Macaca fascicularis: one gene and its partners. The protein of the gene in region 1 purifies or fractionates together with the protein of each later gene. This does not show direct contact. Links are inferred from orthologs where the notes say so. Each region holds a gene or a part of one and is shown in the gene's direction. Other genes may lie near its edges.

Region 1 (10,216 bases):
TGCTGAATATTTTCTTAACTTGGAACTTAAGATATCGTTACTGTCGAATGCTAGAAGAAGGCTCTTTCCGAGGTCGGACAGCAGACTTTGTATTTATGTTCCTTTTTGGTGGATTCTTAATGACCGTATCCTTCAACAAATCGAAAACCTACGGGAAAATGTTGAAGAACACCCTGGCTCTTCCTAAAACTTGTCATCTGTCTCCCACAATTCTCTAGATATTCGGAACAAACAGATAAAAGTAGATCTCCAGATCTTAGCTTCAGGGCGCTATCATTTATTTTACAGCACATTTTCTGTGACAAGTTTCCAAGCCTAGCAGTCGGACAGGAAGAGCAAGTCACAGGAACTTTTAACCCAGGTGGGTTCCTGTTAAGCATCTCAGTTATATCATTGCTGCTTGGCGTACTTCACTTTTAAACTAAGTTGGTAAGACATTTACTTGGTGGCTTTCAAAACCAATAAATTATTTTTCAGAAAAAGAATTTTCATCTGCACAATAGACTTAGATATGGTACGGTCCGACAAGATGGTTTTATTCCAGCTAGCTTTATTCACCTCTGTAAAGGTGCTAATTGTGAGCAAGCTTTAATATAATTATTGAACGAAGAATTAACACATTTTCCAAAGAGGCAAGAAACTTCACGAAAGCAGAATTATTTGTTTGAAGTAGCTGTAAATCTCAATAATTTAGCCTAAGCAGATTTTTGCCTGATTGCTCTGGGTAATTATTTTCTGGGTTTTTTTCCTTCTGTTCTAAAGATGTAACAACTTGACTTTTCCAATTCAAACTTTTGTTAGAACACAATCTTTAGTTCTCCTGCTCAGTCTTCCCTATTAAACTTTTCATGTTGATATTTTCCTTAATGTCATCTGCTAGCTTTTTGGTCTGTTTGTGAGCTTAGTTTTCTTGGGCCAGGCCTTTACAATAATGCTCGTCTACGTGTGGAGCCGAAGGAACCCCTATGTCCGCATGAACTTCTTCGGCCTTCTCAACTTCCAGGCCCCCTTTCTGCCCTGGGTGCTCATGGGCTTTTCCTTGTTGTTGGGGAACTCAATCATTGTGGACCTTTTGGGTAAGGCTCTTCTCACTATTTTTTAAGTCATTTTACCTGTAAAAGTATTTTACCACTATTTTTCATGTTTATTCTGTTTGGCCTTCATGTATTACCTATTGTAAAATACTACAATATTAGTTCATTAATTTTTAATAATTATGTTGACATTCATCCTAAATGTAGTCGATTTATGTTGGTAGGTCTACCTGCCATCTAAATTTTAATTCTCTCCCTCATCCTTTATTTCTGCTTGACTCTAGGTATTGCAGTTGGACACATTTATTTTTTCTTGGAAGATGTATTTCCCAATCAGCCTGGTGGAATAAGAATTCTGAAAACACCATCTATTTTGTGAGTATTTTAACACCAGGTTACATACTCTTACAGGCAAACCAGGACAGAGGGCATGATCTGTGTTTTCTTCGGCTCCCCTAGCTCCTAGTACACATAGTTCAGGTCAGTAACTATTTGCAGATTGAGCAGTCTGGCTGCAGTTGAAGAGCACTTGGATTGGGTAGGAGCAGACAGTGCCAGGGTTGTGGCAAGAGCAAGGTTAACAGGCTCAGGATATCTTGGGAGTAACCTGGTAATCGTTGTTCCAGATGACCACTAGAACTTCCTATTCCAGGAGGAGCCTGCTGGTTTTATGAAAGCCACTGTCCACGTTTAGTGAAGTAAGGTAGCAAAATGGGCAAAACTGATGAAAGTTTCTGATGGTGGACTTTGTGGCCTGCTGAGCAGGTGGTTGAGATAAGAAGTGAAGCAGAGTGCAAATAGCTTTGGACTGGAAACCAGGTGTAGCTGTCCCACTGACCAGCCATAGAGCAAGTCCCTTCTTTTTTGCAATTCAGTTTCCTGAGGTAGAACTTTGATTTCTTTCTTTCTTTCTTTTTTAAACATGGGGTCTCGTTCTGTCACCTAGGCTGGAGTGCAGTAGAACTTTGATTTATGAGACCTCTTTCTACTCTGGAATTTGGTATCCTTGGGAGATGCCATATTAAAAAGGGCTCAATTGAGAAGTGAAATGTGAGTTTTTGTTTTAAAATGTTTGTTGTAGACTAGTTAAGCAAAAAGAAGAAACTGAAATTGTCCACACTTGGGTATAGCAGTGGCTATCATTGTTAACTTTTCAGTGTGTATTCTTCAGTCTTTACTGTCTGTACTTTCTAAAAAACGCTGAGCCAGTCAAGGCCATAGTGCACTATGACTGAGCCTGTGAATAGCCACTGCTCTTCTTGGGCCAGGCCTTTAACATAGCCACTGCATTCCAGCCTGGACAACATAACACATTCCTGTAATCCCAGCACTTTGAGAGGCGAAGGCAGATGGATCACTTGAGCTCAGGAGTTTGAGACCAGCCTGGGCAACGTGGCAAAACCCCATCTCTACAAAAGCTGCAAATGGTGGCACATGCTTGTAATCCCAGCTACTTGAGAGGTTGAGGTGGAAGGATTGCTCGAGCCCAGAGGGGTTGAGGCTGCAGTGAGCCAAGATCGCACCACTGCACTTTGGGCTGAGGGACAGAGTGGCACCCTGTCTCAAAAAACAATTTTTGTAACCTTGTAAACTTAATATGTCAGAATTGTTTTTTCCATCCTAAAGTGTTATAAAATTATAACAGGTGATATTCCATGGTGTGGATATGGCATAATTTTACTAATCCCTTATTGATGGACATTGACATTAGTGCTCGGTTTTCTCGTCTATAATTGGAGTGGTGAATATCCTTGTAGCTAAATCTCTGCACACATCCATGATTATTTTCAAAAGATAATTCCTAGAAGTGGAATTGCTATTTTGTTGCCAAACGCCTTCCAGAATGGATGTTCAAGTTTACATTTCAACTAGCATTTATAACTGTTCATTTCTGCACATCCTCATCAAACAAGGGAGACATTTTATTTACCCTTTCCTAGTTGAATAGTTATAGGATGATGTCTCATTGTTTATGATTTTTAAAAAATGTTTTGAAACAATTTCAGTCCTCCAGGAAATTACATATGCAGTATAGGGTCTCACTCCATTGTCCAGACTGGAGTGCAGTGGTATGATAATAGCACACTGTTAACTCAAACCCCTGGGCTCAAGTGATCTTCCCGCCTCAGCCTCCTGAGTAGCTGGGACTACAGGTGCACACCACCAACCTCTGCTTATTTTCTTTCTTAAATATTTTTTTTTGTGGAGACGAGGTCTCTCTATGTTGCCCAGACTAGTCTCAAACTCCAGTCCTCAGGTGATCCTCCTGTCTCTTGGCCTACCAAAGCACTGAGATTACAGGTGTGAGCCACTACAGCCCACTTTTTATTTTGTTTTATTTTTTGCAATTGTTTTCTGGCACAACAAGATATACCAGGCTCATCCTGTGCTCTCCTTGATCCAGTCCTAGAATCAGCTGTTTCTTCAAGGAGCCCTGGTTCCTTTAAAGTGGAGAATGGTATTTAGAAGCCAAGATCTGGGTGCTAGATGTGCTCATTGCTATTGGAGTGTTGCTATTCCCAGATCCTCTCAGTGAACAGAGCAGTGGAATTGTATGTATGTATGATAATGTATACAAATGTATATTTTTAGATCTATGTATTTTTAAAAACATGGGTTTATACTATACTCCCATTTCTAGTACTACCTCATGGTTCGTTCTAGCTTTTTTCCTATTTGTTTCCTCCAGTATTTTATTATGAAAATTTCCAAACTTATAGGAAATCAGAAAAAAATTGGAGTGAGCTTCATGTAGCCACCACATAGATTCTGTAATTAATAGTTCCCTATTCTTTTTGCACACCTATCCCTACATCTAGCTTTCCAATCCAAAATGTATGTGCCATTATATGTATACTTAATTCCTTGTATACTTGAGTATGCATATCAGTAACTAGAGTTCAGTATTTATGTGCAACAAAATAAATCTTGAGTATGTCAACTGAGTTTCTATAAATGCACACTTCTGTGTATCTATCAAGACAGAAAATTACCATCAATCAGAACGTTCCCTGATATCCTTCCTTGTCAGTCATTGCACCTGTCCCCCAAGAAGCAATTGCTATTCTGATTTTGTTCCTCTATAGATTAGTTTTTCATGTTGTGCAGCTTCATGAGTAGAATCGTACAGTATGCATGTACTCTTTGGTAAAAGGCTTCTCTCATTCAACATAATGTTTTTGAGACTCATCTGTGTTCTTGTATTTATTGGTAATTTGTTCCTTTTTATTGCTGAGTATTATTTGGTTGTGTGAATGTACCACTGCTTTCCATCTGCCCTTTCCATCTGTCCTAACCTGATTCTTATTATGATTAATGTTTTACCTACCTAATTACCCCTCATATGTAACCAGTCTTTTGTGATAGTCTCCACCTCCCCCATATGGATGCCTTGCTCGTCTCACTCACCCTCAGATTCCCCAGACCAGGCTGCCCTCTTACGGGGATGCCTCCCCACCCTACTCAGGCTAACATCTCGTCGGGCCACCTCCATGTGTGCATGGTCTGATGGGGCTCTTGACTCCCTATACCAGGCTGTGCCCCCACCCCCATCCTGCTAATGTTTGGGCAGTAGAAGGGGTCTCAGTTTTGTTTTTGTTGTCATTGCTAAGGATTCTCACTCTGTTGCCCAGGCTTGAGTTCAGAGGCTCAGTCTCGGCTCACTGCAACCTTCGCCTCCCAGGTTCAAGTGATTCTCCTGCATCAGCCTCCTGAGTAGCTGGGATTACAGGCATGCACTACGACACCTGGCTAATTTTGTATTTTTAGTAGAGATGGGGTTTCGCCATGTTGGTCAGGCTGGTCTTGAACTCCTGACCTCAGGTGATCGGCCTCCCAAAGTGCTGGGATTACAGGCATGAGCCACCACGCCTGGCCGGGATCTCAGTTTCTAATGTACTTTCCTTTGATTATTGTGAGAGCAAACATTCTCACGTTTATTGACCACATGGATTTCCTTTTTGAATTGTCTATTCAGCCCTTTGCCCATTTTTTTCTGTTGGTTTGTTTTTATTGTTAATTCATAAGAATTTTAAAAACTCATTTTGAAGTATAGTTTTTCTGACTCCAGTATAAATTAGAAGTTTTCAAATACATTTCTAATTTTATCAACTGTGGGGGATTACAAGTAGAAATATAAGTGCAAATTGAGGATGCTGCTTTAATGGTTCCTTCTTTAGTGAGGTTTTGAATTACTACATCCTAGTACTTAGAGAGTCTTTTGGACATTTACTATCCCCTCCTATGTTCTGCAGTAATTTTTCTTGGGATACCTTGTGAATTTTTCAAAACTTTTGTAGTAAAATAATACCTAACATAAAATTCACCATCTTAACTCATTTTAAATGTTCAGTGGCATTAAGTATATTCATACTATTTTGCTGCCATCACCACCATCCATAGAACTCTCTTCATCCTGCAGAACTGCAACTCTGTACTCATTAAACAACTCGCCACCCCAGCCACCACCATTCTGTTTTGTTTCTCTGAATTTGACTACTCTATGTACCTCATAAGTGGAATCATACAATATTTGTCCTTTTTTGTCTGGCTTATTTCATATTTCATTTAGTGTAAAGTCCTCAAGGTTCATCCATGTTGTACCATGTGTCTGAATTTCCTTCCTTTTTTTTTTTGAGACAGTCTTGCTCTGTTGCCAGGCTGGAGTGCAATGGAGCAATCTCAGCTCACTGTAACCTGTTCCTCCCAGGTTCAAGCGATTCTCCTGCCTCACCGTGCCAGGCTAATTTTTGTATTTTTGGTGGAGACAGGGTTTTACCATGTTGACCAGGTACAGTAGCTCATGCCTGTAATCCCAGCATTTTGGGACGCCGAGGTGGGCAGATCACCTGAGTTCAGGAGTTCGAGACCAGTCTGGCCAACACGATGAAACCTCGTCCCTCCTAAAAATACAAAAATTAGTTGGGCATGGTGGCGGGTGTCTGTAATCCCAGCTACTCGGGAGATTGAGGCAGGAGAATTGCTTGAACCCAGGAGGTAGAGGTTGCAGTGAGCCGAGATCGCACCACGGCACTCCAGCCTGGGCAACAGAGCGAGACCCCATCTCAAAAAAAAAAAAAAATTCTGTAATATGTATGTACCATATTTTGTTCATTCACCTGTTGATGGACACTTGGGTGATACCTTGGTTATGGGGAGACATTAATGATAAATATGTGAAAGTCAGCTTACAAAAGTAGTGTGATCTAACTTTTGTAAAATTACATAATGTAAAAGTTCCCAAAGAATAACTGAAACATTGACAATAGTTACCTCTGGGAATTTAGGATATTTTGCTAATCTCTTGTTTTCTCCTTCTCTATAATTATTATGATTTGAGTTGCTTTTCTAGTAAAAATCAGTGAAAGATAAAAGCTAATGTAAATGTTAATAATTATAGATGCTCTTACAATATGTTGACTGTTTAATTGGCAGGCGGGTGTAGTGCTTACCTATGGGTGGAAACCCTGTGGGACCTGAACTGACCTTGTAGTACTTTGGACCTGAGATGACTCTGGGACCAAATTATATCTGTTGCCTGTCTTTTAGGAAAGCTATTTTTGATACACCAGATGAGGATCCAAATTACAATCCACTACCTGAAGAACGGCCAGGAGGCTTCGCCTGGGGTGAGGGCCAGCGCCTTGGAGGTTAAAGCAGCAGTGCCAATAATGAGACCCAGCTGGGAAGGACTCAGTGATACCCACTGGGATTCTTTTATCCTTTGTTGCAAAAGTGTGGACACTTTTGACAGCTTGGCAGATTTTAACTCCAGAAGCACTTTATGAAATGGTACACTGACTAATCCAGAAGACATTTCCAACAGTTTGCCAGTGGTTCCTCACTATGCTGGTACTGAAAGTGTAATTTCTCGGAGCCAAAAAACTGGAGAAACAAATATCCTGCCACCTCCAACAAGTACATGAGTACTTGATTTTTATGGTATAAGGCAGGGCCTTTTCTTCCTCTTGATAGATGAGGCCATGGTGTAAATGGAAGTTTCAGAGAGGACACAATAAAACTGAATTCCATTTTTCTCTCACTGTATTAAAGCTTTTGTGTGTGATCTTTTAAATTCTGATAATGTATTGTAGCTCTCCTGCGTAGATCTGAGCTCAGAACAGTTTACACAGCTGTTCTTCTGTGTCTTCACAACTTTTAACTGGATTTCATTTCAGGATTGGAAATACGTGGCTGTCATGCTGTGGTTGTGTACATCTTACTAATTCAGAATGCAAGATTCACCAGGAAGATGATTTATTTCTGTCATCTGGATAGGTTGTTTCCATCTGGGTTTTGCAAAACTGTCAGACAACGTGGAAAAAAAGGAGGGAGGATGCTTCTTGTAGCAGTAGGAATTCAGCTATAGGAAAGTCAGCTGTAAGCTAATGTGGCATCTTATTTGCTTTGCTTACATTTCTCCATTAAGAAGTATCCAGGGAAAGATTGCTAAGGGCCACATTTTTGGAAAACTAGGAAGATTTTCATTAGACTTTTTTTTTTTCTTTTCTTTTTAAAAAAGTTTTAATTAAAAAAAATTTTTTTTTTAATAGAGATGGGGTCTCACTGTGTTGCCCAGGCTGGTCTTGAACTCCTGGACTCAAGAAATCCTCCCACCTCAGCCTCCCAAAGTGCTAGGATTACAGGCATGAGCCACCCAGCCTTTTAAAAAAATTTTTTTTGCCTTTTTTTTTTTTTTAATTAAAAAAAAATAGAGACAGGGTCTCAGATTTTCATTCGATTTAGAAAACAAGTTAGAATGTTGACTTTGGAGCCAGATGAACCGATACCAGTTAGCCAGGCACATGTTCTTCCAGGGTCTTTGGCTAGGTAACATTAGTGATTTGCTTCATGAAAATTCAAGAACCTTTTCAGAACCAAGTACCTAGATTACCTTCCCAATCAGGTAGAACTTAAGACAGGGTCCGCAGAAGTAGACACTTAATGCTGTGGTTCAATAAATACCTCCCCTAAGTATTAAGTCTTCCCTGAGTCTCAGCAGGTTTGCATTCACACTGCTTAAGTAACTCACAGAACCTGGAAGAGCACCGCTAGGAAAGAGATGATTCCAAACAGCTTTCATTAACAGTGTGTATGCACCAGTCCCTTTCCCAAAAGTGGACTGTTAGTAGTAGTTCAACCTTTGTTAAGGGGTAGCTTTCCAGAATGTGAGATTGTCCTCAGAAAGACAGATATAGGCTTAAACATAACGGACATCCTAAATAGGAATTTTCAGATTGTTTTTGAAGTGAAAAGTGTTTTAATGTCTTTAAATGGAATTGCGTAACTAATGGAATTTAAGTATTTTACATGTTGCTAGTAACTTTGAATATGATTGTTGCAATTTTATGGAACCTGGGTCTATGGGACTGCTTTTTCTTTAAGCAGTTTAAAAAAGGTTTTTAAAGTTTAAAAGCCAGTCTTAGCATGTATAATCCTTACGGGATTCTTAAGTTTTATCCTCTTGTTTTTGCTCAAGAATGCTTTATCAGTGACGTTTGTTTTGTTTTTTGTTTTTTTAAATTGTTTTTGGGCTAGAAATGAGTTTCTCTAGTTTTATTTGTTCTCCCTGAGTTGAGTTATGCAATGAATGGCATTTTTGTGGTAAAATGCTGATCCTAAAATCTATTCACTCACTGTTCATTTAAGTAGGGAATATCTGTATACGTTAATGACTGGGTAAAACAGGAAGTACGTTTTGAATATACAGCCTAAAGGCAGGCAGTTACAGGGTTTTTTGGTTTCTCTGATTTTATAGGGTGCAAGTTCCCAGTGGTAGGATGCCCTGCTGTGCGACTACACTGTGTCCTGAGCAGTGTCACCTCTCATCAGTTTGGCCAGCCCTACAACCACCATGCCTAGCCCTGTGTTGCTTGAGAGGATACCTGTGCTGGAATGGACATAAGGAAAAGTCCTTACTTTCCCCCCAATTTACCTCTCTCAATCTTAGTTCTTCCAGAACACACTTCCCTTTCCCAATGCAAATAAACTAAAAGTGAGATTTGATACATAGAATTTTGTGACCAACTAACCTTACACATAATTTGAGGGATTCCTGGATTCTTCCAGTAATACTGAAAAGCACACTTGACTAAAGCATAGTGTTTTTTGTTTGTTTGTTATGGAAACATGGTATACGTTCATTTAAAAATAAATGGACATACAAATTGCATCTCCTTAGGAGATACATTTTATATACATTTCGGTGCATTTTTTCTAGTATGGATTTCTATTTGTTTCTCTCTTCCATTTGTTTTTTTCTGTGTCACTCTTGTATGTCCTCTTATCTTTCATACCTCTTGTGTAGTCTCTAGAAGCAGAACACCCAAGTCCTGGGTCTGGATAATGAAACCCTCTGTCTCTGGGGCCTCTGAAAATAAGGAAGCATTGGAGCTATTGCCATGTTGAGTAATGGGCTTCCTAGAACTATTGTCATCTATCCTGCCAGGGTTTTATGTTGTAGCTGTTTTTCTTTGACAGGTGAGTTCCAGCTATGTTGTTAGTCATGATCCTGCCATTATTTTCTGTGTTCTGTAGGATGTCTCCAGACTACTTAAACATATTTTATGAGTTTGCAATAAAATTGTTGAATCTTGTATGATCAAGTCACTCCTCTGCTCAGAAATCCACAGTGACTTCTTAGTAAGCCCCTATATTATATGCATACTTGTTTTTTTCTTAACTTTACTTCCACTTCTACCTAACAGGGACCTCAACTTAAGTCTCTTCAGTTCTTCCAGGCCTGGCCTTGTTCCTGATTGCTCAAAAAATCTTGACTCTAAGGCCAATTTTATTGTCTGTCTCTGAATCCCTATAAAGCTTCAAGTCTGTATGACATATTCTTACGCCAAATTACATATTGTCTTGTACTGTTCCTAGCTGGTACATGTATATTAGTCTTGTCTCCCTCATGAGAATGTAAGCTCCTTAAGGGCAGGGACCATGTCTTAATTTTTGTATCCACCACAGTGCCTAGCACAGTGCTTGGCACATGGGTGCTGAATAAATACCTTTGTTTATTGATCAGCAAAGTATTATCTGGTATTTTTAATTATACAGGGATTAAAGTGTATGCATGCAAGCTTGAGCCTAGTTGCTGAAGCTTGTGGTTGTCTCTGAAAATGGGATAGAGGGAAACTGAACATGATCAAGGGCCGTGATTTGGTGGTCAGAAAAGCAAAGGT
Region 2 (11,389 bases), on another chromosome or scaffold:
CAGCCCCGCCACTTGGTGAATACCACAGCCCAGCAGGTCCCCCGCAATGTCCATTTTCCCATGATGTATTTCTACACTCAGCTTCTCCAAACCAGACTTTTGTAGAAAGGGATAACCTGCCAGCTCTTCTCCTCTGCTTGTCACTGCGAAGACCCCACTCCCATCCCGTCTTCTGCTTTGCTCTCCTTGCCGGGACTAGGGAGGAAGCCCCAGCTCCCAATTCACTCTCACTTGGGAAGAGCACTTAGGCCACAAACCTGAAACCCACCCTGGAGCCAAGGGGTGTCTTCGCACAGGAAAAAGCCATACCCCACTGCTGGGCTTGTGTACAGTACAACTCCATCCTTGCACTGCCAGGCGTGAAGGCAGGAAGGTGGGGTAAGTCAGAGTCACCGCTGCTTAGGTTGATTTGTGTTGTTATTTAATTTATGGGACACATTAATTCTAAATAAAACTTGAGCCTTCCTTCCCCTTCCCTCTTGTTCTTCCCTTCCTTTGTTCTTCCCCTCCTCCCTTCCCTTTCCCCATTTTCCCTCCTTCCTTACCTCCCTTCCTTTCTACTTTTCGACAAATACTTGCTTAGACTCTGCTGTGTGCCTAAGAAAATCTATATGAAGGTGATACAACAGAAACAGAGGAAGAGGTGGACCCCCAAGGAACTCACCCAGCAGCCTCCACAGTACTGCCCCTTGCTAACAGCATCCTGGTTTTGCTCAATCTGGGGCAGCAATGTGCTCAGGGAGTGTTCCCCAGGAGAAGAGGTAAGACTGTTTGAAAGCAACCTGAGCCTCCCTGCTCACCCTGTCTATGATTACCTGGCAGCAGGCGGGGGGGAGGGCTGTGACCCAGATCTGGTAGGTGGGGCCTGAGAGGAAGTGGACTGGAGATTTAGGTGCTTCTTCCCCAGGGAGAAGAAGACATTCAAGAGATGGAAAGTCGCTCCTGTGCTTCTTCCCTGGAGGCTGTATTGAGAGGATATGATCCTCCGATCTGTGGCAGTCACCTAAGAATAGGAGAAAGGCAAGTAAAGTATAGAAAAGCTATCTTGAGTCCCGGCATCACTGAGCTGCTGAATTAACAACCCTGGATCCACCTACTACCAAATTCTTGTTTGCAAAATAATGAATTGTCCTTATTGTCCACATTCATTTCAGTTGGGCATTCTCATATTTTGTAACCAAAGGCATCTTACCTACTGCAGCGAAGCAGAAATAAAGAACTATGATTTTTCTGTCACATGTGGCTCTGAGCCTCCCAGATGCTGAGGTGAAAAGGGAAACGAGATGAATGCCAAGCTCTCATTCTTAGTCAGGAAGAGCTTCTCAGGGAGTTTCAGCTTTTTTGCCCCTAAATTCTTTGTTTGACACTAAATTTCCACATGGGAGTTTAGGAAAGGAACACTGGGATACATAATTGCTAGACCCAGGGTAACTGATTCACAGAAGAAGCAGTTTTCAAGGGCTCTTTCTTAAGAGAACTAGGATCTAGATATAGAGAGTTTAAGCAGAGAGGAGAGTCAAGTGGGAGCTGCTCCATGCCCTCCCCACCCCAGATGGTCACATGAATGAGCAGATACTGAAGAGACCACTGAGAAACTGTGAACACCGAGCAGAAGGCAGAGCCCAGAAGGACGCAGAGCGTGGAGCTGCAGGGGAGCAAAAGCCCCTGACCCACCACTGCTAGGGGCAGCAGCTGTGAGTGGGATGTGGAGTGAGTAAAAAGGAGGGCAAAGAAAAGTGTGAAAGGGAGAGAAGAGGACCTGGCTGGGGAAACCCCTGGTTTGTAGAAACCTGGGCAAGGGTAAAGGTTTCTCGGGGATGGCGGAAGGGGGCTGGTGGGAGGCAGAGGTCTAGTCTGCCCTGGGCTCTCCATGTCTCAGGCCCATTGGCTGTGTGTGACCTGCATCACACCTTCTGTTCCTGGGGACCGTGGGTGTTTATCTGGGCTCAAGCAGCACTGTCAGGTCTAGGGAATGACTGTAAATCCCATTGGTATCTCGCCTCTGAGTGCTGTCTGGCCCAAAGTATCTGAGGGTTCTCCCGATAGAAATGTGGTATTTGAAAATTCAAATGAGCCAGGCAATTACTTTGAAAAAGCTTTTACCTCGTTGAGGATTCAAAACAGATTTTCATGAAAAATGCTGTACTCTCTGTACCTTTTCTGTAGTATATCAATAGATGCCACACTCACACATACACGGACATAGCAAATATATTTGGAAGAATTCAACAAGCTTCTTTACTGCAATATGTCTTGAAGGCATTAGTATCATATGTCATCAAATCTAAGAGATACCTTCAATTGGAAAATGTGTCGTTATTTAACGTATTACTAAGAAAAGAAAAATGTCCAAGATGGAAAGTCTCACAGGAGATGCCTCCCTAAAGATGGAGCAATGAAAGGCTCCACTGTCGGCTGGGCGTGGCGGCTCACGCCTGTAATCTCAGCACTTTGGGAGGCCAAAGCAGGTGGATCACCTGAGGTCAGGGGTTCGAGACCAGCCTGGCCAACATGGTGAAACCTCATCTCTACTAAAATTACAAAAATTAGCCAGGCATGGCGGTGTGCACCTGTAATCCCAGCTACTTGGGAGGCTGAGACAGGAGAATCACTTGAACCCAGAAGCCGGAGGTTGCAGTGAGCCGAGATCGCACCATTGCATTCTAGCCTGGGTGACAAAAGTGAAACTCTGTCTCAGAAAAAAAGGAAGCTTCGAAGGAAGGAGGGAAGGAGGAAGGGAGGGAGGGACGGAAGGAAGGAAGGAAGGAAGGAAGGAAGGAAGGAAGGAAGGAAGGAAGGAAGGAAGGAAGGAAGGCAGGCAGGCAGGCAGGCAGGCAGGCAGGCAAGAAAAGAAAGACTCCACTGTCAGTACAGAAGAAAATGAGAAATAAACCCGCCATGGAGAGGAACAGCAAGGAATCAACAGGTTTCTATTTTGGCCCTGGCGAGGGGAGAGAGAAATAGGGAGAGATGCCCTGCACTGATCATTAGAACCATAAGCTGGTTCTCATTCTGGGGTCACACCATTCAGCAGATCCCCAAGGAGTTTCAGGAGTTGTGTCCCCAGATCACTGGCAGAAGCAAACACAAACCCTCTCTGAAAGAACTCAATTTCAGCCCAGGCCAGTAGTGATTGCAAAACACTAATTGTGAGATGTTTCTTGATTTGGGGATGTTAAAATGCGAGAAAATGTGCACCCAGGCATAGATGAGGACAGTGAGCCCTCATCCAGAGAAGGTCAGAGTATTCAGCCCTAACTACTCTATCCCACTGGAGAGCTCCTGGTTAGCAGTGGTCACTGTTGCCACTATTTATGGAGTGCTGACTTGGTGCCAGGCTCCGGGTGCCAGGCTCTGCACACATCAGCTCTTGTCGTCCTCACAGCACCTCTGCATGGGGACAGCAGTGTTACTAGTATTTTCAGTAGGGCAAACTGAAGCAACTTTACTGAGGCTGCACATGAGTAAATGACAAAGCTGGGCTTTGAGTCCATGCTCATCTCTGGTATCCTGAAGGTGGTATCCATCAGACATTTTTCAAAGGATGCTACTTTGGCCTGCTGAACCTAGCATTATTGCCAAAAATGCAATTTTTCAGCAAAGCGTCTATTCCCTACACAGAGGTAATTTCTGCATCAAAGTCTGTCTTATCCCACCCTAGAAGGCTGCGCAAAGGCTCTTGCTGTCCAGTGGTCTTGGCTGTATGGGTATTCCTGGGCTCTGGCTGGATAACCCTGTACTTGCTGTAAAGGGATCACTGGTGGGCATGAGAACACATCATTCAATGTCTTCTCCTCTTTTCTGATTTTAGAAGATGTTAGTATAAATATCACAAAACTTCCGAAATATGACCAGGCTCCAATCACCTTTCGGGTCCATGTCCTGTCCCTCCTGAGGCTCAAAGACCTCAATCTAGGGAAGCAGCATCCCGTTCCCTCCCCACAGAGCTATGTAGATCTCGGGGGTCATCTGGAGAGCCAGAGTCTGACTGAGTAATAAATCCCCTCCCTGCAGGACGACTAGCCAAGTTTTATTACAGATCCTATCACAATGAAAAGGGCTGGTACTCCTGTGATTGAGCTAATCCTGTCACCGTGTAAATCAATAGGAAACCCACAGGAGGCGATTTGATTTAGGATGTTCATTTTGGGAAGGTGGTCTTCCTACAACATTGGAGTCAAGATATTGCTAGGGCACTTCCATGACAAATGGAAAGTTCAGCCCAAAAGGACCAGACTTGTTAATAAAATAAATTCAGATCTCTCCAAATAAAAATTCAGATGCATTTTAGTCTCCCTCAGTACATCAGGCTGAATCCCTTAATTTACCACATTATTATGGAAACACCCTTACCTCTGCCTGTCAAAATCACTGACATTGCGGGGGCTCCGTCTTGGGAGACACTAGCTGCTTTATAATTATTTAGCTGATGTGCAGTGTACATTATCTTGAAGCAGGCCATATACTCGAAGAAGAACAGTACCGGATCCAGGATGAATCTGAGGGATATCTGGCCGGCAGGAGAAGGGGAAGAGAGGTAACACATGTTGCCCAGACATACTGCTGCTAGGTGACCATGCAATGCCTCCAACTCTGTCCCCTTGACTCAGGCCAATATCCCTCTTCTACAGGCCAGTTGGCTAGGCAGCCAGGGCCATGTCAGGCAGAGGCAGACTGAGGGTTCTGGGTACTGTTTCTGTCCAACAGGTATGGTGGGTTCTCCTCTAGGGCTGCCAGTTTGCATGAGGGCCTCGTGTCTCTCCATTGGCAGGGGCTGGTGAGCATCCAGTCCATCTGTAGGAGGGACACACAGTGGCTGTCTTCTGCAGCGTGGACAGACCTAGAGTGACTGCCCAAGCAGCGGACCCCACTTGCCAGGGGAACACAGGGAGGTGAAGCTGCATCTAGAGCAGCAAAGGGAAGGCCGTGTGGGACATTGATCTCCAGGTTCCAAGATGGGCCCTTGGCAGGAGCCCTTGTGAACATGCATGTGACTTGTTGGGATGGGGCCTCCCACCACGCCTCCTGTTCTCCCACCTCCATTAGGGGTGACTCACACCTGCAGAAAGGATGAATCATGTGGGTTACGAAACCAAAGGGCTCCTGAGAGCGAGGCTGGAAAGGACCTCGGAAACCATCTATGCAGATCCTGTCCTCTGCCCATCCCCTCTTGCCCCAGCCTCTCAACTCAGGCTGCCAAGCCACAGACTCCAAGTGAATCCTGCACGCTCAACAGGAGACTGCTCCTGGAACTGAGCATCAGAGAAGCAGCTTCCTTCCCACCTCAAGGCCTTCTCGACCTTTTTGTTTTACTTCCTGTATTAAGCAGGCTGATGGCTTGCTTTCTGCAAGTGGGCCAGTGGGACCAATGGGTCCTGGGAGGGATGACAGAAGGGATCTAGCAGCGATCCTTACCCTTCATAATTCCTTGGTCATGGAACATTTCCATACATCTCCAGGGTACTTCAAATCATTATCCACTGGATACCAGGCTGCTCTAGGCAACAGGGGTGAGGATGATTCAACTCACTTTCCCACTGCTGGTCCCAGCTCAGTGGGTGCTTCTAAGAGTGTACATCATCTAGTGAACACCTACCACAAGGCAGGCCCTGGGCTCATAAAAACGAACGTTTATGGACAGCTTATTGTACAGCAAAAGCGGACCTCATCCTCAAATCAGGCCGATGGGGTAGATACCACTGTTCCCCCCATTTTACAGGTGGGGCACCTGCCCTCAGCCAGGACAGTCATTTGCCCAGATGGGCTCTGTGCGGTGGTTTCTCGGGTACATGCTCGTGAGCCCGGCTAATTCGCCACATGCCTTTGCCCTGTTCAACATGCCCCTTCAGCCATGCTGGGTCCTGGGCGATCCAGTGTCTTCCCGGCAGCTTCTTCTCCCTGGGACCCTGCACACTGGCAAGCCCTCTGTCTAGGGAGGCGGGCGAGGCCGCCGGGCGTCTGAGGCCCCGCCAGGTGAGTGCAGCCTCCGGGTGTCCGGCCGGTCTAGGGAACAGGGGACTCACCTGAGACGCCAGGGCCTCCCCGCTCCCAGCAGAACTCGCGGGGCCGAGGCCGCCGCTGGGCCGGTCCTGCGTCCCGAGAGCCCCAAAAGTCGGCGGAGAAGTTCCCCCGGTGGGGGGCGTTTCGGGCCTCCCGGACCGGTCTCGGCCCCGGAGCCCGGCCGCAGGAGCGCGGGCCCGGGGGCGCCGCCGGGCCGCGCGGGCGGGAACGCGCCGCGGCCGCCTCCTCCTCCCTGGCTCCCGCCCGCGGCGGTGGCGGCGGCGGCGCTTCCCCGGCGCGGAGCGGCTTTAAAAGGCGGCACTCCACCCCCCGGCGCACTCGCAGCTCGGGCGCCGCGCGAGCCTGCCGCCGCTATGCCTCCGCGCGCGCTGCCTGCGCCCGGGCCCCGGCCGCCGCCCCGGGCCGCCGCCGCCACCGCCGGCGCAGGGAACGCGGGGGGTGCCGGCGGGCCCTGGCTCCGGCCGCTCGCGCCGCGTCCCTGGCGCTGGCTGCTGCTGCTGGCGCTGCCTGCCGCCTGCTCCGCGCCCCCGCCGCGCCCCGTCTACACCAACCACTGGGCAGTGCAAGTGCTGGGCGGCCCGGCCGAAGCGGACCGCGTGGCCGCGGCGCACGGCTACCTCAACTTGGGCCAGGTGAGTGCGGCCGGCCCCGCGCGCCGAAAACTTTCCCGGCGGCCTCTGGCGCGCGCGAGGGGGCAGCCTCCGCAGTCCTGTCCGCCCGGCCCCGGCGCCGGGCCGCGCGTGGGAAGGCTCCGGGACCGCTTGGGGACTGCAGGCGGCCGGGGCGCCCTGCCGGGGGGGGGTCACCCGGGAGGGCGTGCGCGGGACACTCGGCTGGGGGGACTCGGGGTCCCTCGTGGGCGCCCACGCAGATCCGGCGCGCCGACCGCAAGTACCCGGGCAGTGCCTCCCAACCCTGCGCTCGGAAGTGTGGCCTCAGAAGCTGGGGCGGCGCGGACACCTGCCGGGCTCCGGGGAAGGCTGGGCTGTCTCGGGCGTCGCGCGCCGTCCGCCGCTGGGTCCTGAGCGCCCACCCAGCTCTCCCCCGCGGAGGAGCGGCCCCTCTGCCCCCGACGGGCAGCGCGGGCTCTGGACCCTGTGTGCGCGCCAAGGCGGCCGGCCGCTGCTTGGGTGACATGAGCGTGGCCCGGCGTCTGGGGGACTCGCGCTGCCTCGGTGTCCGCCGCTCCGGAGGTAGATGACCAGGGTGCCTGCACCCTGGAGCCCGGCCGCCGTCGGAGAGGCTTTGGGACAGCGTAGGGCTGGGGGTCCTGGGTTTAAAACCTCTCCAGGAAAGGAGGGAGGGCGCTTTGTTTGTGGGCTCCTGCGGCAGTTCCGATGGCAGAGCGGTGTGACCTTTGGCGAGTCACTTCCCTGACATGCTCCTTTGCAGTTAGTGGCAATGTCTACACTGTTCGGTTGTCGGAAAGATCTAATGTTGCATTGCCACAGAGCCTGGACCGGGGCCTGACCCTTACCGGCCCCCACGGGGCCAGCGAGGAGCCCTCTCAGCCCCGCACCCCACGGGCTTGGCTGTCACCTCTTCTGTCAGTTAGTAAGCAGGCCACACCCTGGGCACAAAGGCGGCATTACCCTCAAAGGACCGCCCGGCGGGTGCCTTTTTCCTGTCTCAACCAGCTACCGGGCTGAGGGGTGGTGAGTTGGGGTTGATCCAGATTTATGGCTCCTGGAGAGGCCATCAGTTTGGGGTCGCACCAGGGGACCTCTCAGTGCAGTTAACAAATCTACAAACTACACACTCAGAGGATTAAGTGAAGTGACAGGGAAGCGCCGACTCATAACTCTAAACCTCAGTGCCAGGCAGTGTTAAATTTAGTTTCATCATTATCCGTGGCAGAAGCCAGCAAGGTGTGGTGGCGTCCCTGATAGAAATGACATTTCTTCTGGATCCCAAGCCCCACGTTGATGTGCTGTTAGGTGTGTGGCCTGCTGGAGGGGTAGATTCTACCATTTGAATGATAGAATCTTCGCAAGGCACGTTCGAGTTTATCTGAAAGAATGCTAGCACATCTTTGGAGACCTTTTAAAAATATGTGTGTGTGTGTATATGTATATATAAAATGTTATATGTATACACATATACATGCACATACATATACACACATGTATATCCATATATATATATATATATATTTTTTTTTTTTTTTAACCACTGAAATCCCTCCAAACATCCTGTGATTTCAGATTTTGCCTTCGAGTAGCACTGACTGCGTTCGTCTCTGTAGTTCCTGACTCTCCCTGGCTGATTGTCCAGGCTGAAGAAGGCGTTCCTCATGTTTGCTTTGTGCCCCTGGCTCCTGCCACACTTTGCTGCTGTGCCCAGGTGGCCCAGCAGTTTGCCTGCAGCTAAAAGTGACTTAAGCTACATGATAAATTACAAAGTGCCTGGGTTTTGGGATCCTAAAATTAAATGAGCAGAATGGAGCTGAAGTTGAGCTGTGAGCTCACACTGCAAGAGAGAGGCAGAGAGGCACAGGTAACTCTCCCCGGAAATATCTGTCTGTGGGAATAGAAATGCCTAACCCTTGGCCATGCCGGCCCTTCGAGACAACCTCTGTCAGACTTGCTGAGTTTTTATGTGCAGCCTGCTCTCCTGATTTTGCTCATGGGAGAGAAGATTCCCTCCGATGCACACTCCCTACCCAGGATATTCTGGGGAGTCAATTGGGGTCTCCCCAGCTCTGTCCAGTGCAGCCAGGATGAATGCCACGCAGCCTGGTCACTCAGGCATGGTGCTGGCAGTGGCACTGTGGTGACATTCACTAACACAGGGATTAGCTGGTTGGGGATAGGAGCTGTCTCAGAGGCTTGTGTGTGATTACTCACGGAGGGCATATTACTCTTTATTCCAAAACAAGCTTTTCTTTCCCCTCTCTAAGTGCACTGCTAATGTGGAAAAGGCCCGGAGCATTTGAGCCTCTACCCACTCAATAAGAACTCTTTGAAAACCTTATTTGCCTTTTTTTCAGCCAGGAGAATTTGTGACTCATAAATAAGATGTAGATATTATTAGCTTTGACTTACAGATGAGTAAATGGGGGTGAAGTAAGCGAAGGAAGCTGTTTGTGTTCACATGGTATGCATATGTCACCTCTGACAGTTCCATCCCCTGCTCAATTTTCTTCTGCTGTATTCTCTGGTCTGAGATCTCCTTTGTGAAACTCTTTCTCCAAGCCCTTAATGGGCAATTAGTGTTATGTTCTGTACTTGCCTGAATCACAGCCCTGGTTTTCTCCCAGATAGTTGCTGTGCTCAAAGTTCTTGCTTGCTTGTTTTACTTTCTTCCATACAACTAATAACTGGTTTCAGTTTATTTTACTTGGTCCAGAGGTAATTTAGACTGGTGGTTATTCACCTTTCTTGAGTCTTGGCTCCCTTTCAACATCTGATAAGGGCTGTGGATCCTCTCCGTTGTAAAATATGCATCCCCAGGGACAAGACAAGATAGCCTCTCTTTGTCCCTGTACTCATCATTCCAGGTAACACCACAGTATTTCAAAGGGAATAAAAATGTGGAAGTGTCCAGTGTCATTATCGGCAGATGACATAACTACATGGATAATCCAAAAGAACCTAGAGATTAACCACTGGAGCTAATAAGGGAGTTGATCAGCAACAGCTACCTGCATGGCAGCACATCTGAGAAGATAAAAGAACCATTCTTCATTCTTGCATAAAAGCTGTAAGATACTTTGAAATAGGTCTTTTAAAAAGGTGAGACTTTTATAGAGAAACATAAAATATTTAGAAGAAGGACTGAGAAAAGAAAGTTTAGGCCGGGTGTGGTGACTCACACCTGTAATCCCAGCACTTTGGGAGGCTGAGACAGGCGGATCACCTGAGGTCGGGAGTTTGAGACCAGCCTGACCAATATGGAGAAACCCTGTCTGTACTAAAAATACAGAAATTAGCCAGGCGTGGTGACACATGCTGGTAATCCCAGCTACTTGGAAGACTGAGGCAAGAGAATCGCTTGAACTCGGGAGGCAGAGGTTGTGGTGAGCCGAGACCGCGCCGTTGCACTCCAGCCTCAGCAATAAGAGTGAAACTCCATCTCAAAAAAAAAAAAAAAAAAAAAAAAGTTTTAAATAAAGGGACAGATGTGTTGTGTTCGTGTATGGGAGAACTTGCTCTCATAGTTGCCCCAATTTAATCTGCAAATTCAATGTAATCTAGTTTAAGCCATGACAAGTTTTAATGTGGAATATGAAATCACGCAAATGAATTATAAAGTTCATATGGAAGAGTAAGGTCCAAGAATACCTCAGACAACTCTGGGAAAGAAGAGGAGGAGGGGAGTTGTGGTAACGACAACAGCTGAACATGGACGCAGTCCATCAATAGAGTCCCCTCAAACCCAAGCATGTGTGGGAACTTGTGCGTGTGAGCTGAAGAGTTATAAATGGATGGGGAAGGATGGGCTATTTACTAAATGGTGCTGGGAGAACAGGCTCTCCCCGTGGAAAAACAATTGGATCCTCACATTACACAACAGTACATTCCAGATGGGATTACTGTTTCTCTGTCAGTAATTTTTATATGTATATAAAACTTTTAGAAAGAAATACAGTGGAATACCTTTGTCACATTGGGAAAGGAGTTCCTCAACAAGTCATGAAAATAAACAAATTTTAAAATGAAGAGATTGATACATTGAGATAAAAATTCTATGTTAACAAAGGCATCATAACAGAGTTAAAAAGCAAGTAATAGACTGGGAAAGTATTTACAATATGTAACAAACAGATTAGTACACAGATTATTTTGAAAACTATAAATCACTCAGAAAAAAAGATACATGCCAGGTAGAAAAATGGGGAAGTTTATGAATAGAGAAGTCAACGAAGAGAAATCCAAATGACCAATAAATATAAGAAATGATGCCCAGCTTCCCTCAAGCTCGCTAGGGGTTATTGGAGCACTGCAATTTAGGCAATGATGAGATACCATTTCACACCTGTCACGTTGCCCGACATGGAAGAGTGTTAGCATCACGTGCTGGCAAGGATATAGAACAATGGGAACTTTCAGATGCTGCTGGTGGAGATTGGTATAGTTTGGAGAGCAATTTGGCAATACACAGTGAGGCTGAACTGCACCGGCAAGTCCACATCTAGACATATCCTGGAAGAACCCTCGCACATGTGCACAAGGAGACTTGTATAAGAATGTCCATGCAGGCATTTTTTAAATGAAGGGAAAACCTACCTTCCTTAAAGTAGAATAGAGAACTAAATCAAAATAGTCACACCACACAAGACTCTACAGTGGTTAGAAATGAATAAAGCAGATCTATATCTACACAGATACATCTCTCAAATAATGTTGAGAGAGAAAAAAGGCAAATT
Region 3 (10,835 bases), on another chromosome or scaffold:
CCTGCAAAGGGTGCTCCCACCTGCCCCAGTTCCAGAAATGTCACCATGAAGTCTTCATTCTTCTGTTTTAAAGCTTGGCCTCAGTGTCCATACACCATGGGGTACTTGACCATCTACTTTCTCCTCTCCAGCCGCCCTCCCAGGCACTAGCTTTTGAGGGTGCAGGGTGCTGCCTCTGATAGAAGGGCCGGGAGAGAGCAGGTTTTGGAGTCCTGATGCTATGAGGAACAGCTTGGGAGGCATAATGAACCCAACACGAAGCTTGAGACCAATGTCAGAGCCCAATTCTGCCATTCATCATCTGAGATTTGAGGGCACAGCTGTCTCAGTCCGTGATCTGAGTGCTGGGAAAGCCAAGACTTGTTCCAGCTTTGTCACCGACTTGCTGTATGGCCTCGACAAGGCCCTGACCCTCTCTGGGCTTCAAACTCTTCACTGTGAAAGGAGGAAACCAGAGGAGGTGATGTGACGCCAGGAAAGATGGATGGGTGTGGGGAATTGTGCTCCTCCCAGCTGTCACCCCCTCTCCACCCTCCCTGCACCAGCCTCGCCACCTCCTTCGAGCCCAGCAGCCTCCTGTCTAGGAGGGTGCCTCTTCTCCATCTGTTTTGCTACATCGAACCCAGATGCCATTCTAACCAAGAATCCTGGCTGGGTGCAGTGACACTCACCTGTAACCCCAGCACTTTGGGAGGCCGAGGCAGGCGGATCAAGAGGTCAGGATTTCAAGACCTGCCTGGCCAACATGGTGAAATCTCGTCTCTACTAAAAATACAAAAATTAGCCAGACGTGGTGGCATGTGCCTGTAATCCCAGCTACTTGGGAAACTGAGGCAGGAGAACTGCTTGAACCCGGGAGGCAGAGGTTTCAGTGAGCCAAGATCACACCACTGCACTCTAGCCTGGGGGATAAAGCGAGACTCTGTCTCAAAAAAAAAAAAAAAATCCTATGTTAGCATACAGAGGTCCCCAGTGAGGTCTTCTCCCAGCCCCACTTTGCACAACTGGGGAGAGTGAGGCCCCAGGACCAGGGGATGCTTACTCAAGGCCAAATGGATAGTGGTGGCCCTGCCAGGACTAAAGCCACAACTTCTGGCCCTAAGGCCACTCAGCGTATTTAGTGTCCCCACCCTGCAGAGGCCCAACTCCCTCCTGACCTCTGAGCCCTGTAATGATGGGGGAATTTCCATAAACCGTGAAGGACTGCACAAAATCCAGCTGGGAAGTGAAAGAGAAACCTAAGGGAGATGGAAATATACAGCACTAATTTTAGCACCGTCTTCAGTTCTAACAACACTAGCTAGTTGAAGAAAAATACAAACATGTATTATGTAGTGTGTGGTCCGTTCCATTTGGATTACTTAGAGGCAAGAGGGCCAGGAGAAAGGTGGTAGAGAGAAACCAGCTTTAGGCTTCATTTTGTTGCTTTACTGGAAAGAAACTTTTAACAGTCCAGGGGTCAATGAATCTCAATATTTGTTATTTCCAACTTTTTTCTCCAGTGTTTCATTTCCCAAATTCAAGGACACCTTTTTCTTTGTATTTTGTTAAGATGATGATTTTACTTTTGTGACTAGTAGTTAACTATGTGGCTGCCAGGCATATTCTCCTCAGCTAGGACCTCAGTTTTCCCATCTGTGTAGACAGCAGGTTCTACTTAGGGGGCTGCAGATTGATGGTCCGAAGTCTGGGCATATCTGGAGTAGAAGGAGCACTGTGGGGCATGGCAGGCTCTGCGTTGCTGTGGATGACACTGACTCTGACCATTGCTCAGCAGAGCCTGCTCTCGCCGGTTCAGCCACAGGCCCCACCACTCCCTATTGTCTCAGCCCCAGCTATGAAACATGTATTCCTCACTGGACTATCACCTGAAGGCTTTGAATTTGCAACACCTGTCAACCCCTCCCTCAAAAGGGTTGCCCTCTCAGATCCTTTTGATGTAAGGTTTGGTGTCTAGACTTATTTCACTAAATTCTTCCAACAGCCTCACTTCATGTATGAGGCAAAATGAGGACCAGGGAGATAAATGACGTGTCCTGGCTCATACACCTGGAAAGTGACAGAGTCAGATTAGATCCCAGGTCTATCTGAAGCTAAAAGAGATGCTTTTTCACTTCCCACCACCCCCATCTCCTTAAAGCAGCACAAAGCCTTGCTTCACAGGAGAGATGAGCTTCTCTAAAGTCCCTGACAGCAAGAGCCCAGAACTGGGACACCATTGGTGATCCAGATGGCAGGTGAGCTGACTGCAGGGACATCAGCCTATTCTTGTGGCTGGGACCACAGAGCATTGTGGGGACAGCCCCCTCTCTTAGGAAAAAACCCTAAGGGCTGAGGATCCTTGTGAGTGTTGGGGGGGAACAGCTCCCAGGGGATTTAATCACAGCCCCACCATGCTCTAGCTGGTGCCATTGTGCAAGATGCATTTCCCTTCTGTGCAGCAGTGTCCCTGGCCACTCAACAGTGGGATTAGATAGAAGCCCTCCAAGGGCTTCTAGCTTGACGTGATTCTTCATTCTGATCTGGCCCGATTCCTGGATAATCGTGGCCAGGCCCATTCCTCTTCTTATGCCTCATTTGCTTCTTTTGTAAAACAGTGGCTGTACCACTTGCATCTTAGGGTCATTGCAGATGTAAGTGGAGCTGTCCAGAGCCTGGGCGCAGGACCTAGATGTAGGATTCTGGTTCTGCTACTTTACTTCCTCAGTGACATTGAATAGGTGACCTAATCTCTCTGGTTTTGGTTTCTTCATCTGAAAAAGAAGGATAGTAGCATCAGCACCTCACAGGATTGTTACAAGAAAGCAATGAGTTAACACATGTGCGCACGTAGAACAGTGCTTGGCATATGGTAAGCACTACATACATTTTGCTATTCTTCTGATTCTTTCAGTGTTACTGATGTCAGCAAGTACTTGGCACAGGCTGGTTTAATAAGCCTTAGGCACTTCCACGTGGTGTCAATCCCGGGTCACTGGGAGTCATCATGTGCCCTGACTCGGGGCCTGGCCCCCGTCTCTGTCTTGCAGGACAATGCCATCTTCTGTCTCATGGGGCGTCCTCCTGCTGGCAGGCCTGTGCTGCCTGCTCCCCGGCTCTCTGGCTGAGGATCCCCAGGGAGATGCTGCCCAGAAGACGGATACATCCCTCCATGATCAGGACCACCCAACCCTCAACAAGATCACCCCCAGCCTGGCTGAGTTCGGCTTCAGCCTATACCGCCAGCTGGCACACCAGTCCAACAGCACCAATATCTTCTTCTCCCCAGTGAGCATCGCTACAGCCTTTGCAATGCTCTCCCTGGGGACCAAGGCTGACACTCACAGTGAAATCCTGGAGGGCCTGAATTTCAACGTCACGGAGATTCCGGAGGCTCAGGTCCATGAAGGCTTCCAGGAACTCCTCCATACCCTCAACAAGCCAGACAGCCAGCTCCAGCTGACCACCGGCAACGGCCTGTTCCTCAACAAGAGCCTGAAGGTAGTGGATAAGTTTTTGGAGGATGTCAAAAAACTGTACCACTCAGAAGCCTTCTCTGTCAACTTTGAGGACACCGAAGAGGCCAAGAAACAGATCAACAATTACGTGGAGAAGGAAACTCAAGGGAAAATTGTGGATTTGGTCAAGGAGCTTGACAGAGACACAGTTTTTGCTCTGGTGAATTACATCTTCTTTAAAGGTAAGGTTGCAAAACCAGCCTGAGCTGTTCCCATAGAAACAACCAAAAATATTCTCAAACCATCATCTCTTGAACTCTCCTTGGCAATGCATTATGGGCTATAGAAATGCATGTCAGTGTGGGCTCTTCAATTTTCTACACACAAACACTAAAATGTTTTCCATCATTGAGTAATTTGAGGGAATAATAGATTAAATTGTCAAAACCACTGACAGCTCTGCAGAACTTTCCAGAGCCTTTAATGTCCTTGTGTGTACTGTATATGTAGAATATATAATGCTTAGAACTATAGAACAAATTGTAATATACTGCATATAGGGATAGTTTCATGGAACGTACTTTAGACGACTCTAGTGTCCCAGAATCAGTATCAGTTTTGCAGTCTGAAAGACCTGGGTTCAAATCCTGCCTCTACCACTATTAGCTTTTGACACCGAACAATGCATTCTACCTCCTTGAGGTGCTAATTTCCCATCTTAGCATGGACAAAATACCATTCTTGCTGTCAGGTTTTTTTTAGGATTAAACAAGTGACAAACACCTTGGGAAAAGTGTGGCATGCAGTAGGTGGTGGGCTCTTCTGTATCTCAGGCTGCCTTCCTGCCCCTGAGGGGTGCTCTTGAGGCAAAGGAGGGCAGTGGAGAGCAGCCAGGCTGCAGTCAGCACAACTGGGGTCCTGGCTCTGCTGTGGCTTAGGGCAGGCCCCGGTCCCTCTCCAGCCCCAGTCTCCTCCTTCTGTCCAATGAGAAAGCTGGGATCGGGGTCCCTGAGGCCCCTGTCCACTCTGCATGCCTCGATGGTGAAGCTCTCTTGGCATGGCAGAGGGGAGGCTGCTCAGGCATCTGCATTTCCCCTGCCAATCCAGGGGATAAAGAAAACCCTCAGGAATAGTAAGCAGAATGTTTGCCCTGAATGAATAACTGAGCTGCCAATTAACAAGAGGCAGGGAGCCTTAGACAGGAGGTAACAAATATGCCTGATGCTCCAACATTTTATTTGTAATATCCAAGACACCCTCAAATAAACATACGATTCCAATAAAATGCACAGTCAGGATGGCATCTCTTAGCCTTACATCTCTGCGATGTAGAAATTCTGCATCTTCCTCTAGTTTTGAATTATCTCCACACAGACCTTTTTGGCAGCCTGGATGGTTGGTTTCAGCACCTTTTGCAGATGATGAAGCTGAGGCTTGAGGGATGTGTGTCGTCAAGGGGGTTCAGGGCTTCTCAGGGAGGGGACTGATGGCTCCTTTATTCTGCCACACTCTTCCAAACCTTCACCCACCCCTACTGATGCCCGCCTTACCCTCTCTGTCCAGGCAAATGGGAGAGACCCTTTGACGTTGAGGCCACCAAGGAAGAGGACTTCCACGTGGACCAGGCGACCACCGTGAAGGTGCCCATGATGAGGCGTTTAGGCATGTTTAACATCTACCACTGTGAGAAGCTGTCCAGCTGGGTGCTGCTGATGAAATACCTGGGCAATGCCACCGCCATCTTCTTCCTGCCTGATGAGGGGAAACTGCAGCACCTGGAAAATGAACTCACCCATGATATCATCACCAAGTTCCTGGAAAATGAAAATAGCAGGTGATTCCCCAACCTGAGGGTGACCAAGAAGCTGCCCACACCTCTTCTGAGGCCCATCAGAACTGACCAGAGGGTCGGAGAGGGTGAACACTACATCCCTGGGTCACTGCTACTCTGCATAAACTTGGCTTCCAGAATGAGGCCACCACTGAGTTCAGGTGGCACCGGCCATGCTCCATGAGCAGGACAGTACCCAGGGGTGAGGAGGTAAAGGTCTCGTCCTTGGGGACTTCCCACTCCAGCGTGGACACTGTCCCTTCCCAATATCCAGTGCCCAGGACAGGGACAGCAGCACCACCACACGTTCTGGCAGAACCAAAAGGGAACAGATGGGCTTCCTGGCAAAGGCAGTAGTGGAGTGTGGAGTTCAAGGGTAGACTGTCCCTGTGGGGATGGGGGAAGAGCCTGTGTGGCTAGGCCCAGAAAAGCAAGGTTCAAAATTGGAATAGCCAGGGCATGTTAGCAAAAGGCTTGAGTTTCTCTGTCACTTTATCGGTGCTGTTAGATTGGGTGCCCTGTAGTAAATGATACTCCAATATGAGTCACACATTAGTGTGTCTGTGTGCATTCGTAATTATGCCCATGCCCTCCTATCTAGTTTATTTTGTACACTGTAAAACCAAGATGAAAATACAAAAGGTGTTGGGTTCATAATAGGAATTGAGGCTGGAATTTCTTTGTTTCACGCCAGCACCTCCTGAGGTCCCTGCTCCAGGGGCTGAGAAAGAACAAGGAGGCTGAGAGGGTAACTGATCAGAGAGCCCAAAGCCAGGCTGCCCGCTCACACCAGACCCTGCTCGGGGCGGCTCTGTCTCCCCATGGAAAACAAGAGGGGAGCACTCAGCCTGGTGTGGTCAGTCTTCTGGTGGCACTGCCACCAGCCCATGTTCCTCTGGGTATAGGGCCCTGGGGATGTTTCAGGCTGGGGGCCCAGTGACCAAACACTACAGGGCAGGATGAGACATGCTTCCAGTACACCTAGAATCTCAGAGGAGGTGGCATTTCAAGCTTTCATGATTCATTTGATGTTAACATTCTTTGACTCAGTGTAGAAGAGCTAATAGTAGAACAAACCAAAGCCAAGTTCCCATGTTAGAGTGGGTGGAGGACACAGGAGTAAGTGGCAGAAATAATCAGAAAAGAAAACACTTGCACTGCGGTGGGTCCCAGAAGAACAAGAGGAATGCTGTGCCATGCCCTGAATTTCTTTTCTGCACGGCAGGTCTGCCAACTTACATTTACCCAGACTGGCCATTACTGGAACCTATGATCTGAAGACAGTCCTGGGCCACCTGGGTATCACTAAGGTCTTCAGCAATGGGGCTGACCTCTCGGGGATCACGGAGGAGGCACCCCTGAAGCTCTCCAAGGTGAGATCACCCTGATGACCCTGTTGCACCCCGGGATCTGTAGGGAAGGATGTATGGGGGCTGCAGTTCTGTCCTGAGGCTGAGGAAGGGGCCAAGGGAAACAAATGAAGACCGAGGCTGAGCTCCTGAGGATGCCCGTGATTCACTGACGCGGGACGTGGTCAGACGGCAAAGCCAGGCAGGGGCCTGCTGTGCTGCTGGCACTTTCAGGGCCTCCCTTGAGGTTGTGTCACCGACCCCGAATTTCATCTTTGCCCAGGACCTTCTAGACGTTGGGCCTTGATTTATCCATATTGACACAGAAAGGTTTGGGCTAAGTTGTTTCAAAGGACTTTGTGACTCCTTCGATCTGTGAGATTTGGTGTCTGAATGAATGAATGATGTCAGCTAAAGATGACTCTTCCTTTGGAAAACTAAAGGTGACCAAAGAACAACTGCAGTTCCGTGAACGGCTGCGTTGTCTTGGGATCTGGGCACTGTGAAGGTCACTGTCAGGGTCCATGTCCTCGAGGAGCTTCAAGCTGTGTGCTAGAAAGGAGAGAGCCCTGGAGACAGGCGTGGAGTGGCGATGCTCTTTCCCCTTCTGAGTTGTGGGTGCACCCTGAGCAGGGGCATAGGCGCTTGTCAGGAAGATAGACAGAGGGGAGCCAGCCCTGTCAGCCAAAGCCTTGAGGAGGAGCAAGGTCTGTGTGACAGGGAGGGAGAGGATGTGCAGGGCCAGGGCTGTGCAGCGGGAGAAAGGCCTGAGTGAACGCTTCCTGGGAGGTGTCCACGTGAGCCTTGCTCCAGGCCTGGGCTGGGGCACAACTCAGCCTTAGAACATGTCTCTGCTTCTCTCCCTTCCAGGCCGTGCATAAGGCTGTGCTGACCATCGATGAGAAAGGGACTGAAGCTGCTGGGGCCATGTTTTTAGAGGCCATACCCATGTCTATTCCCCCCGAGGTCAAGTTCAACAAACCCTTTGTCTTCTTAATGATTGAACAAAATACCAAGTCTCCCCTCTTCATGGGAAAAGTGGTGAATCCCACCCAGAAATAACTGCCTGTCACTCCTCAGCCCCTCCCCTCCATCCCTGGCCCCCTCCCTGAATGACATTAAAGAAGGGTTGAGCTGGTCCCTGCCTGCGTGTGTGACTGCAAACCCCTCCCATGTTGTCTCTGGGTCTTCCTTTGCCTGCTGAGGCCGTGTGTGGGCTCCAGGTCACAGTGCTGTCTCCGGACCCCCTCAACTGTGTTCATGGAGCATCTGGCTGGGCAGGCATATGCTGGGCCAGGATGGAGGGGGCTGAATCCTCAGCTTACGGACCTGGGCCCATCTGTTTCTGGAGAGCTCCAGTCTTCCTTGTCCTGTCTTGGAGTCCCTAATAAGGAATCACAGGGGAGGAATCAGATACCAGCCCATGACCCCAGGCTCCTCCAAGCATCTTCATGTCCCCCTGCTCATCCCCCACTCCCCGCCACCCAGAGTTCCTCATCCTGCCAGGGCTGCCTGTGCCCACCCCAAGGCTGCCCTCCTGGGAGCCCGAGAACTGCCTGACCATGCCCTAGCCCTGTTTTGTGGCATCTGCAACAACAAAAGAGAGAGGACCGTGTCCTCTTCTTGTCCCACTGTCACCTAACCAGGCTTGGGCCCGGCGCCTCTTGGGCACTTCTGGAAAACAACTGAAGCAGATTCCTCCTGAAGCCCATTCTCCATGGGGCGACAAGGACACCTATTCTGCCCTTGTCCTTCCATCGCTGCCCCATAAAGCCTCACATGTCTCAGTTTAGAATCAGGTCCCTTCTCCTCAGATGAAGAGGAGGGTCTCTGCTTCTTTTTCTCTATCTCCTCCTCAGACTCAACCAGGCCCAGCAGTCCCCACAAGACCATTACCCTATATCCCTTCTCCTCCCTAGTCATGTGGCCATAGGCCTGCTGATGGCTCACGAAGGCCATCGCAAGGATTCCCCAGCTATGGGAGAGGAAGCACAGCACCCACTGACCCCTGCAACCCCTCTCTTTCTCCCCTGAGTCCTGACTGGGGCCACATGCAGCCTGACTTCTTTGTGCCTGTTGCTGTCCCTGCAGTCTTCAGAGGGCAGCCGCAGCTCCAGTGCCATGGAAGGAGGCTGTTCCGGAATAGCCCTTGTGGTAAGGGCCAGGAGAGTCCTTCCATCCTCCAAGGCTCTGCTAAAGGGCACAGCAGCCAGGAGGTCCCCTGAGCCCCCAGCTGAAGGACAGGCTGCTCCCTCTGTCTCTACCAGGAATTGCCTTGTCCTGTGGAAGGCACTGACCCATCCCAAACTAATCTTGGAATCCCTGTCTAATCACTCACTGTCATGAATGTGTGCTTAAAGGATGAGGTTGAGTCAAACCAAATAGTGATTTTTGTAGTTCAAAATGGTGAAATTAGCAATTCAACATGATTCAGCCTAATCAATGGATACCAACTGTTTCCCACACAAGTCTCCTGTTCTCTTAAGCTTACTCAGTGACAGCCTTTCACTCTCCACAAATACATTAAAGATATGACCGTCACCAAGCCTCCTAGGATGACACCAGACCTGAGAGTCTGAAGACCGGTATCCCCCTGTCAGCTGTGTGACCTTCATGAAGTCGCCAAACCTTTCTGAGCCACAGCCGTGGCCAGTAAGACCTGCCTTTGAGCTGGTACGATGTTCAAGTCAGATAATAAAACACCGTTTACACCTATTAGAGCAGAGAATAAATAGAGCTACATTTCTTGCATTTATGAGCTTTCTGTGAATCAGACATCCCTGTGAAGAACCTCCCTGGCTATTTCTCATTTAAGAACTGTAGCAGCACTGTGATGTGTGAGTAGATCCGCTGTGCTCTTAAACTCCAAATCTACATATGAGGAAACTGAGGCTCAGAGAGGCTGCTGGTCTCCCACAATGTCACATAGTTCATAAGTGGCAAAGCTGGCTTGATGGGCTACTCGTTCCTCTGAACCACACCACCTCACCACACTCTCCCCTTCGAGGGTCATGCTAAACTTCTGCAGAGCTAATTCCTCCTTAAACCATAAGGGTTGCTGGTGGCCCACAGCTCACGCCTAGCATGCTTCATGAGAAAAACACCCTCCACCCAATGTGGAGCAGGCCCTGAGCTGAAGGTGGTGAGCAGAAGCTCATCCACCAGATGTTGACACAGCCCGCGGCCTTGGGCGACCCACAGGACTCCTCTTATTTAACTGGCATTTGGTAGGAGAACAGGGGCAGAGTCAAAGACAAGTGGGCTTTCCGGAGCAGCCAGGACAGGGAAGGAGGCTGCAGTGCTGAGGGCATCACCTTAGACACCATCGTTTTACTTTGAAGAATCGTCTGTCACACACGAGTTGACAGTCCGGTTGGGAGAGACTCCATTCAAACCAGCATAAGCTCCCAGAGGAATTCCTGGGCTCCTGTGGGAATCAACAGGGATCAGTCAGGGGTGGGCAGAGTGTCATGACAACCTCATTAGGAGGAAGACAAATACATGTCACAAGTCCATGAGGCAACAGCCATAAGACCTCAGCTTCACTGTATCTTCCAGAGTTTTTTAAAAAATGCATTCACTGTCTAATGTGATCCTCCAGACAGGTCCTGCAGGACTCAGCCTAGGAATCATTATCCCCAAAGTACACATGGGGAAACTGAGGCCCAGCAGGTCAAATGCTCTGTCCAGTGTGGGCCTGGAAGGCAGGACTTCTCTGCTCTTAGGCCTGGCTGTCCCCAACTGCACACACTTCCTCAGTCCATATGGGATCACGATAAAAACTCCATCCTCCAGAACCGCACTGCGTCAACCTGCTGTGCTCTAACAACAGCTGAAGGCCGAGCTGCGGGGCATCCTGGGTGTTCCGAGTCAGTTTCCCACTGCAGGCAGGAACCTCATCCTGCTCTGAAACAGATGAGAGGGAAACACGGAAAACAGCTGCGAGCTCAGCCGGGAACCTCAGAGTCATGACCTTTTACCCCACCTAGGAGTTTGCAGGGGACAGAACACACGAATTTGAGATTTTAAGCCTAAACAAAGGAAGCCTTGGTTTGAAGTGCAAGCTCTGCCAGACAGAGGGCACCCTGTGAGCCCCATTTGTTAAGAGGACGATAGTCAGGGAGCTTCTAGGTTCTCACACCAGAAATGGGAAATACAGATTATACATTGATCTCCTTCCCAGGAGCAACTTGATCCTCCCATAAATCCGAGCAGGCA

Evidence for each region.
Region 2: the proteins of DERL2 (region 1) and SELENOS purify together in Homo sapiens (affinity purification with western blotting; 3 studies listed by BioGRID and IntAct, with this or other methods). This does not show direct contact. The link is inferred for Macaca fascicularis from reciprocal best matches to the Homo sapiens genes DERL2 and SELENOS.
Region 3: the proteins of DERL2 (region 1) and SERPINA1 purify together in Homo sapiens (affinity purification with western blotting; 3 studies listed by BioGRID). This does not show direct contact. The link is inferred for Macaca fascicularis from reciprocal best matches to the Homo sapiens genes DERL2 and SERPINA1.

The regions. Positions count from the first base shown.
Region 1 is NC_088390.1:5,538,757-5,548,972, reverse strand, and holds the end of DERL2 (derlin-2), read left to right. Parts: intron 1-31; coding exon 32-125; intron 126-880; coding exon 881-1,076; intron 1,077-1,318; coding exon 1,319-1,409; intron 1,410-3,438; exon of another isoform or gene 3,439-3,590; intron 3,591-6,581; coding exon 6,582-6,687; 3' UTR 6,688-10,063; downstream 10,064-10,216.
Region 2 is NC_088381.1:86,540,571-86,551,959, reverse strand, and holds the start of SELENOS (selenoprotein S), read left to right. Parts: upstream 1-6,134; 5' UTR 6,135-6,277; intron 6,278-6,337; exon of another isoform or gene 6,338-6,374; coding exon of another isoform or gene 6,375-6,653; intron 6,654-11,389. Other genes in the region: PCSK6 (proprotein convertase subtilisin/kexin type 6), read left to right, coding at 6,375-6,653. UniProt on the Homo sapiens protein: Involved in the degradation process of misfolded endoplasmic reticulum (ER) luminal proteins. Participates in the transfer of misfolded proteins from the ER to the cytosol, where they are destroyed by the proteasome in a ubiquitin-dependent manner.
Region 3 is NC_088381.1:162,404,265-162,415,099, reverse strand, and holds the end of SERPINA1 (alpha-1-antitrypsin), read left to right. Parts: intron 1-3,029; coding exon 3,030-3,679; intron 3,680-5,000; coding exon 5,001-5,271; intron 5,272-6,493; coding exon 6,494-6,641; intron 6,642-7,487; coding exon 7,488-7,679; 3' UTR 7,680-7,755; downstream 7,756-10,835.